2 linked regions of the Neurospora crassa OR74A genome follow. The protein of the gene in region 2 interacts with the protein of the main gene of each other region in a pairwise test. Links are inferred from orthologs where the notes say so. Each region holds a gene or a part of one and is shown on either strand. Other genes may lie near its edges. The genes, in order: NCU17251 and NCU04307.

Region 1 (3,371 bases), on a different chromosome or scaffold from region 2:
ACCGCGCATAGTAAAACATCTCCTCGGGGAGAGGTCTGATGCGCCAGTCCGCAAGCTGATACTTTTTGTCGGCTTCGAACTCGGCAAACTTGCTAAGCAAATAACCCAAGCTCCTTCCAGGGTACCCGAGAACGGCGCAAGCATGATATGTGTCGAAGAGACCTACAACGTAGAGACCAAGATCTCTCTGCAGCCAGATGACATCCATGAAAGCACCGTGAAGAACCTGGGTCAAGTTAGTCGATAATACAGTGAAAGCAGAAGGCCAGGATGTGTCTCACCTTGACAATGTTGGGGTTCGCAAAAACCTCATTCAGAACCTCAAGCTTGTGCCTCCAAGGTTGAAGAGTATCAATGACCCAATCCTTCTCTCTGGTACTGATCTGCATGAGAGACAACAGTCCGGTGTAAGACCTAAAATCGTGGTGCTCCAGATCAAGCGCAATTTCCTTGGCCTGCTTGAGCTCCTCCAACATCTCCAAGACGCCCTCATAAGTATCAACCCAGATGGCGGATGTCGAATCGATAGGAAGGTACTCCTTGGGTTCGCGCTTCTTGTACACATGCTCAGGGTACGGTGTCGTCTTGATCTCGGTTTCGTAGGGGTGTTTGTATCTGGGAGATTCATGTTAGCGACATGCTCTTATGATATTGGAAAGAAAGGTTAGACGTACTGTGTGTTGTTGTCATCATCGACAAAGGTGGTCAGGCTGTCTTCCAGTGACACCTTGGCATGAGGCTTGGACGACAACAGAGGCTTCCAAGGACCGGTAGCGAAGTTATCGACCTTCTTCTCGAAGTTATTCTGTGGTTTGAGAATGTTGGCTCTCTTCAAGGACCAGTCAAGACGATCGTTAGACGACTTGACGCGTTTTTGGGCGCGGCCCTGGTCGGCGGGGGTAGGCGCATCCTTCCGCTTGATCAATCCGGTGTACTCGTCGAGGCAGGTGTCGGCTTTCTCGAGCAACGAGTCGATCACGTCGACAATGTTCCGCCATTGGATGTCCACGTCGTCGGCATCTTCAAGAGCGCCAACCTTCTGGCCGGTAAGATTCGCGGTCGACTTGAGGAGCCCGTTGGCCAGGGACAGAAGGCGGCCGGAGCTGTTGTCGAGTTGACCACCGACAGTCGGGTTGACGGTGCGCTGGAACTGAAGATCCTCGCTGGCGATTGAGTTGGCGGTTCGGGTCGTAGCGACCAGGGCGGCTTGGAGCGATTCCCTCAAGCTCTTGAAGTCCAGTGAGCCGTCCATATTGGCCGGTGGTTCTGGAGTCGTTGTGGTGTGGACGTCACTGGAAGTGGAAGCCCGGTTCAATTTTCCAAAAATGGTTTGTCGTTCTGCTGCTCTTTGGGAACTTTTTTTGCGGACAGTCCCAGCATGTGGCTTGTGGAGAAAGCGCCAAAGTGAACGGGACCTCGAAAAGTGGAAGCTGCCCGATGGATGCCATCAAGTGGGCCTCGAGTGAGCTGTTCCCGCTCTGCGCTGGTAGAGGTACCTGATGGCCCATGCTGGGAAGTAGAAGCACTAAAGTAGAGAGACTTTGGGCAGCCGATTACATAAGGCCAAGGGGGCGCTTGCCAAGAGCCAAGATTGTGCTGATCTGGACCACCAACGTTCGTTCATCCATCGGCGTCCAGGCTTTTGAGATCCGTCCTGTGACGAAGTGGAAGTCCGCAACCCCATTGTTGAATAGCACCTGGTACTTGTTGGTTTCCAAGCGGACTCACCGGTGAACGTTGATATTTGAGATTCCGTACAACCGTCTTTTCCACCAAAAATATTCACCTGGAGTATCTCACGAACACCCTTCTATACGATCTTTTGCCCAAAACATAGATATACCGTCGATACCCATAAGTCATCGGACACCGTACCAAGCCTATCGTTTTGTTGGCAACACCTACGGTTGAAAACATAGCTCTGGACTTTAAAGATGTCCCAGTCACTCGCCAAGGAATGCAACGAGGCCAAGGAGTAAGTTTTTGTCCTTCATACGGAAAGAAAACAACATCTTAACCAGTTGTAGACGTTACGACACTTGCTTTCTCAAATGGTACAGTGAGAGTAAGTCTACAGGAACAGACACCCCAACTCAGTGGACATGTGTGATACTTATACTGGACAGAATACCTTAGGGGCAATGGTACCGAACAAAATAACGAATGTTCAATTCTCTTCAAGGAGTATAGCTCTTGCCTGCAGGTAGGACGCAAAACCATACAGCGCCCGTACTCTAGCATCGAGATAGCTTACCATATGGCATTTTACAGGTTGCTTTGAAAGAGCGTGGCATCGACAAGCTGCTTGAAGAGGCGCGGGAAGAACTCAAGGACAGCGACTCAACATACATGGGCAAGAAAAAATGTGAGTTTGAGCTTACGAACATGGCCAAAGTTGAAAGGATGACTGACTTGCTCAGAATACCAGAGCTGGACGACGTCTGAGTACCTTACTGTACCACTCGTCGACCAACTCCTTGAACAAAGCCGCAACAATCCAGTTATTCTCCTTACATTGCTCAATTATCTCTTCTCCGTATATATCATATATCGCCTGGTATTCGTGGAAGGACTTTCCATTATGCACACCCTCCATGTCTTGAACAAAGCCCATGTACCAAAAGTGTCACCCGCTGGTCTTTGACTGTACCTTTCTGATTATATCTTCTGTTGAGTTGTTTTCAGTGCTCTCTGTTATGGACGGAAGCCATGGATGACTTCAAGTCGGTTGAATGTTCCCCTTCCAAATAAGGTTTCCCGTCCTTGAGAAGTGGATCCTCCCCAACATCCAATCGGTTCATTACAGAGTGCCGTGCAGTCGCAGCCAGGTCGGGTTGCGCTCGGGGACTCTGGCTTCTGGGCGCTAGAACTTAGAACGCTCCACACTCCCTGTAATACTGCCTAAACTGCTTCGATAAACTTCAGCGCGAGTCTGAGCCGAGTCTGTCCACCACGACACGACACATAACGCATCTGATCGCCCTGCTCCCCCGTCCCCGTCCCAAATCAACAAGTTTTCGGCTTCCCGTTGTGCTTCCCGTCAGTACCAGCTTTGCCCGACTTCGACCTACCTAATCCAACCTCTTCGAACCGTCGAGTATTGTTTTCCCCCTCCCATTACAGCGCCCGCCAATTCCTCATATAACCGCACCCACTATCCGCCCGCATTTCCTCTCCCCACACAAGGGAAAGTGACATCGGACTACAGCATCTACCGGCCCAGACTTTTGCCGCGATCGCATGCTCGAACAGTAAGGGGCAGCGCGCCTCTATGCACCCCTTTTCTGTTCTTACACTCGGCATCTTCGTAGCTGGGTATATCACCGCCCGATGGGACCTCGTCACTCGCCTATATGAGCTTGCCATATTCG
Region 2 (4,597 bases):
CCCCAACGCTGGCAACAAGATGGTTCTGCAGGAGGACGACGTCATGAAGGTGGATTTCGGTGTGCACGTCAACGGCCGCATCGTCGACAGCGCCTTCACTGTCGCCTTCAACCCCCGCTACGACCCCCTTCTCGAGGCCGTCAAGGCCGCCACCAACGCCGGTATCAAGGAGGCCGGTATCGACGTGCGTGTGGGCGACATTGGTGCCGCCATCCAGGAGGTCATGGAGAGCTACGAGGTTGAGATCAACGGTCAGATGCTTCCCGTCAAGTCCATCCGCAACTTGAACGGCCACACCATCAACCACTACAGCATCCACGGCACCAAGAGCGTGCCGATTGTCAAGAGCAACGACCAGACCAAGATGGAGGAGGGCGATGTCTTTGCCATTGAGACTTTCGGTAGCACGGGCAACGGCTACGTGCATGAGGAGGGTGAGGTTTCGCACTACGCCAAGCGTGGTGATGCAGCCAAGGTCGATCTCCGTCTGTCCTCTGCCAAGTCCTTGTTGAACGTGATCACCAAGAACTTTGGTACTCTTCCTTTCTGCAGGCGTTACATTGATCGTTTGGGTCAGGACAAGTATCTTCTCGGGGTAAGTTTTTGATGTTCGCTGTCTGTCAGCCCGAATCATTCTGTTGCTAATCGATGCGTGTTACAGTTGAACAACCTTGTGTCACAGGGTATTGTCGAGGCTTATCCCCCATTGGTTGATAAGAAGGGCTCTTACACTGCCCAGTATGAGCACACCATTCTGCTCAGACCTACCGTGAAGGAGGTTATCAGCCGTGGTGATGATTTCTAAGGGATTAATGGGGTAGCATAGCATAGGATAGGGTACGACAAAAAAAGTTCGGGATTTGTTTGGTTCGCGTTTTCTTCCTGTAATGTTGCTTGTAAAAGATTGTAGCACCACGAGTTCATGGTGATGAGTGCGCTTTGACAGGGAGAGGTGAAGGAAAGCTCGAGCCAGCCAGAAACTCAGCAGCGCGCAGCCATCAATCTACAGAGTGCTAGGACGTTTTGACACTTGGTTCGTCAATCTGTAACGGTTGTTTTAGCTGATGGCAGGGATTTAACGCTGGAAGTTTGAACTCGTTTAGCACATGAAAACTAACGTGTCATGTTTCAATATAGCTGGCTGTCGACCAGAGACGGAGGACAACCGGAGCATGTGCGGAGCTTCGAGAGCCAAGCCGGTCCCAAGAGATCCACTCGTACTCCGTGCAGGCCGCACAAATCGGACCCAGCGATCCACAACCGTACCGTACCGATACAGAGGCTCAAAAATTCCACGGCTTTCCAAATTGTCAATCAGCGGCGAAGAGTGACGGAAGCGATCACGGAGGCGGAGTGATCGACATCTGGGGATGACGGAGGTATGCCGGCTGTGACGTCTGCGGCTTTGTCAGATTCGCCGTGTCCGACCTGTCTAACCGAGGTGTGCGAATAAAAGACAGAACACTTTCTGGTGGGTTTTTGGTGCCAGTGTGTTCGGACTATTTTTTCCACACCTCGCCAAGCTGAGGCTGGTGGAGATTGACTGTGGAAAATGTGGCTCATCCCATTGGCTGACTGCGCAGCTGCGTTGCCACTTTTTTTTCTGGTTTATCACGGACCCGATAAGAATTCGTGAGACACGGGTGTGAACGGACCAACGGGGCTCAGTGAGCCACTAACTGAACTGGACCGCGCGGGGGCGTACAACGCTGGAAGGAGAAAAAAAAAAAAAGAAAGGCGTCACATTTCGGTTCCAATTGGTAAAAGCCGAGGAATATCGCGATGACAAGCGGCAAGTCATAAAGGCCGCAACCGCTCTTCCTCTGCTCCGTTCCGGTCTCGCTGTTTTTGAGGCTTCACAAAGTTTGTCCAACTCTGTTTTCAAGTGTCTCTCACTTTATAGTATTGCACTTGTTCTGCATTCCACTCCGCCTTGTCTACCTAGGTACCTTCACGCGACCACATACCACAAACAATTACAACCAATCTATCATTTTCCCCTTTTAGACGGGACGTACGTACAAGCGGTAGTGTCACAAGCAAACCAGGCACGCGCTCCGTTATCGTCGATCAACCCAAGGTTCCAGGCCGTTGTTCGGATCAACCGGTTTTGTTTACCCAGGGTCCCAGTCAGCTACTAGTCACTAGTCTAGCCCCTGCGAAAGAACTTTCTGCTGCGCTCCTCCGCTCTCTGCGTTATCACAAGCCAATCCTTGACCACCAAAAAGTCCTATTCTTGTCGTTGGTCCAGACGATTTCTTACAGTCACCACCACCACCATCACCACGCCCTATTTCTAGCTGACCGCTCGCTTGCGTCACCGCAATTGTCGACATAAGGATCGTCTTTCCCGTTCTTGCGGTCTGCTTTTTGTCAGCGCGGCGCTTCCGAGTCGAATTTTTTTTCACTTATAAGAGGAATCCATCTTGACACCACCTCACGAATCCTGACCAACAAACTCAATAAAACACATCGCAAAGCTATCAAAATGAAGGTCTTTTCCAACACAGAAACCTTCAATTACTCATGGGAAGAGGTATCGACTGCCAACTGGCGGAAGTACTGCCCATGGAACGAGAAGTCGACGCACGTTGTCGCCGTCGATACCATCAGCCGCAGCGTTGACCCTGCCACCGGCATCCTGCGCACCGAGCGCCTCATCACCTGCCGTCAGGCTGCTCCAGAATGGCTCAAGAGCATGATGGGCGGCGGCATGGACGAGTCGCAGGTGTTTGAGACTTCATACGTCGACCCCAAGACCAAGACCGTTACCATGGTCTCCACAAATATCACCTGGAGCAACTTGCTCAACGTCCAGGAGACCGTCGTCTACTCGCCCCTCTCCGATCACCAGACCAAGTTTCACCAGGAGGCCAAGATCACCGCTCTGGCTGGTGGCTGGCAGCGCATCAAGAACAGCATTGAGGACACCCTTGTCAAGAGGTTCCGGGAGAACGCGGCCAAGGGCAAGGAAGGATTCGAGTCCGTGCTGGCCATGAGCAGGCGCGTCTTCGCTGAGGAAAGGGAAAGGGAGAAGATGGGCCTCATCAGGGAGCAAGCTGGGAACATCCGCATGGCTGCTTAAGTCTCTTTTTGCGATCCGAGGTCGCTCTGAGATGCTCGATGAATTTCTGCATCGTTGGGGCAATTGAGTGACGGCACCATCATCACACATAACGGCAGCAGCAATGCCGGTAGCGCATCATCAAATCGCCTGCTCGATCACGACGCCGAATCACGACATTTGGCGACACACACACGTGTCGCGCACCCGCGGCAAGCAAACAAGCGATTGAGCTGAAAAAAAAGCTCCGGGCAGTTCCGTGCAGCAGGCATTGTCTGTCTCCTGGCTTGGCGCGGCATTAATGATGCATTCACTCACACACACACACACTTCTCTTTCTTTTTCTTTGCGATTGATGGGTTTACATACAAACAAAAGCGATGTCGTACGGAGTCCGGGAGTTTAGCCAAAAAGCATAGACTTGGAGTCAACTTCATTAGACGGCGTTGTTCGGTGTTCATTATTTACTCAAGGAGGGGGAAGAAGCGATGCATCTTCATTTTATCTTGCTTTTATTCATTTCGATATCCCAAATTCAGATGTGTTTCTATAGACTTGCATTTTCCTTTCCTCATCTTTTGTGTTCATCTCTGCGTTGTCATCCCCATCATGTCAAGCAGTGTTGAGGCGGAGTTTTCGGAGTTACCCCCTTATCCCCGGTTCATTTCTAGGGTTATTCTTGGGATTGAGCATGGAGGTCAAAGGAAACTGAAAATCATCATTTATCATTCCTTGCTTCCGGGTTTCCGAAACGGTTTGAAGGATGCGAGGGGTACTGATGGCCTTGGATGCGACGACCCGAGGACACGCGCGGGGTACGAAACTCCTTGTACATATCCTAGACGGTTCAGATAAATCGGGTTGCGGCAACTGCTAAGATGGAATTGGAAAAGGAGATGATGGACAGGACAGAGAGGGATGGAAGAGGGAAACTAGAGCATTTACAATGTTTGCTAGATCTCGTCATTCACATTTCAATTTTGAGATAAGAGACATCTTACATTTCCCTTCATTCAAACACTGCGTGCTTCATTTTGGGCGCTATCCGTGACTGCCGTTCGTATTTTGAAAGCCCATCGCGATGAACTCATGCTGAAATAATGCTTGCTTGTCCAACCTCGCGCTCACACCAAACTGAACGAACTACCATCTCATGTGAACCTCCAACCAAACCAACCCAACCTACCAACGCTGCACTGCATTACATCAATCAATCAAAGTAATCACCAACGCACGTAAAAATAAAAGGGTATCATTAATTCCACCAACCCATTCATCTCTTCCCCCATTCTCCCCTCCCCTTCCTTTTTTCTCCCTCTCCCAATTCTTACTGCCCATTCACCCTCAACCTCTCCCCACACCTCGTCTCATACAACCTCAACAACCCCGTCGTATCCCGATCAAAGAGACTGTCTCCCGCATCCTCCCATACCTTTCTCAGTAGCGCCACTGCCTCCTCGTACCTCCGAAAGAAGTAGAGTTCCTCCACTGCGTGCAAAATCTCTTGCGCTTCGGGCTTGTTGATGGTTCTGG

What was found.
Region 1: the proteins of NCU04307 (region 2) and NCU17251 interact in binary tests that used the Saccharomyces cerevisiae proteins (3 or more experiments, as listed by UniProt). The link is inferred for Neurospora crassa OR74A from reciprocal best matches to the Saccharomyces cerevisiae genes UPS2 and MDM35.

Annotation. Positions count from the first base shown.
Region 1 is NC_026507.1:3,164,327-3,167,697, forward strand, and holds NCU17251 (hypothetical protein), read left to right. Parts: upstream 1-1,614; 5' UTR 1,615-1,934; coding exon 1,935-1,975; intron 1,976-2,027; coding exon 2,028-2,065; intron 2,066-2,126; coding exon 2,127-2,203; intron 2,204-2,271; coding exon 2,272-2,365; intron 2,366-2,420; coding exon 2,421-2,422; 3' UTR 2,423-2,777; downstream 2,778-3,371. Other genes in the region: NCU02256 (exosome complex exonuclease Rrp6), read right to left, coding at 1-226, 282-615, 675-1,252. UniProt on the Saccharomyces cerevisiae protein: Involved in mitochondrial distribution and morphology. Mediates the import of UPS1, UPS2 and UPS3, 3 atypical mitochondrial intermembrane space (IMS) proteins lacking the two major IMS-targeting signals, into the intermembrane space.
Region 2 is NC_026505.1:5,567,943-5,572,539, forward strand, and holds NCU04307 (MSF1), read left to right. Parts: upstream 1-1,745; 5' UTR 1,746-2,488; coding exon 2,489-3,085; 3' UTR 3,086-4,079; downstream 4,080-4,597. Other genes in the region: NCU04306 (methionine aminopeptidase 2B), read left to right, coding at 1-595, 662-805; NCU04308 (hypothetical protein), read right to left, coding at 4,392-4,597. UniProt on the Saccharomyces cerevisiae protein: Required for mitochondrial cristae morphogenesis and MGM1-processing. Controls the stability of mitochondrial phosphatidylethanolamine (PE). With UPS1, controls the level of cardiolipin in mitochondria.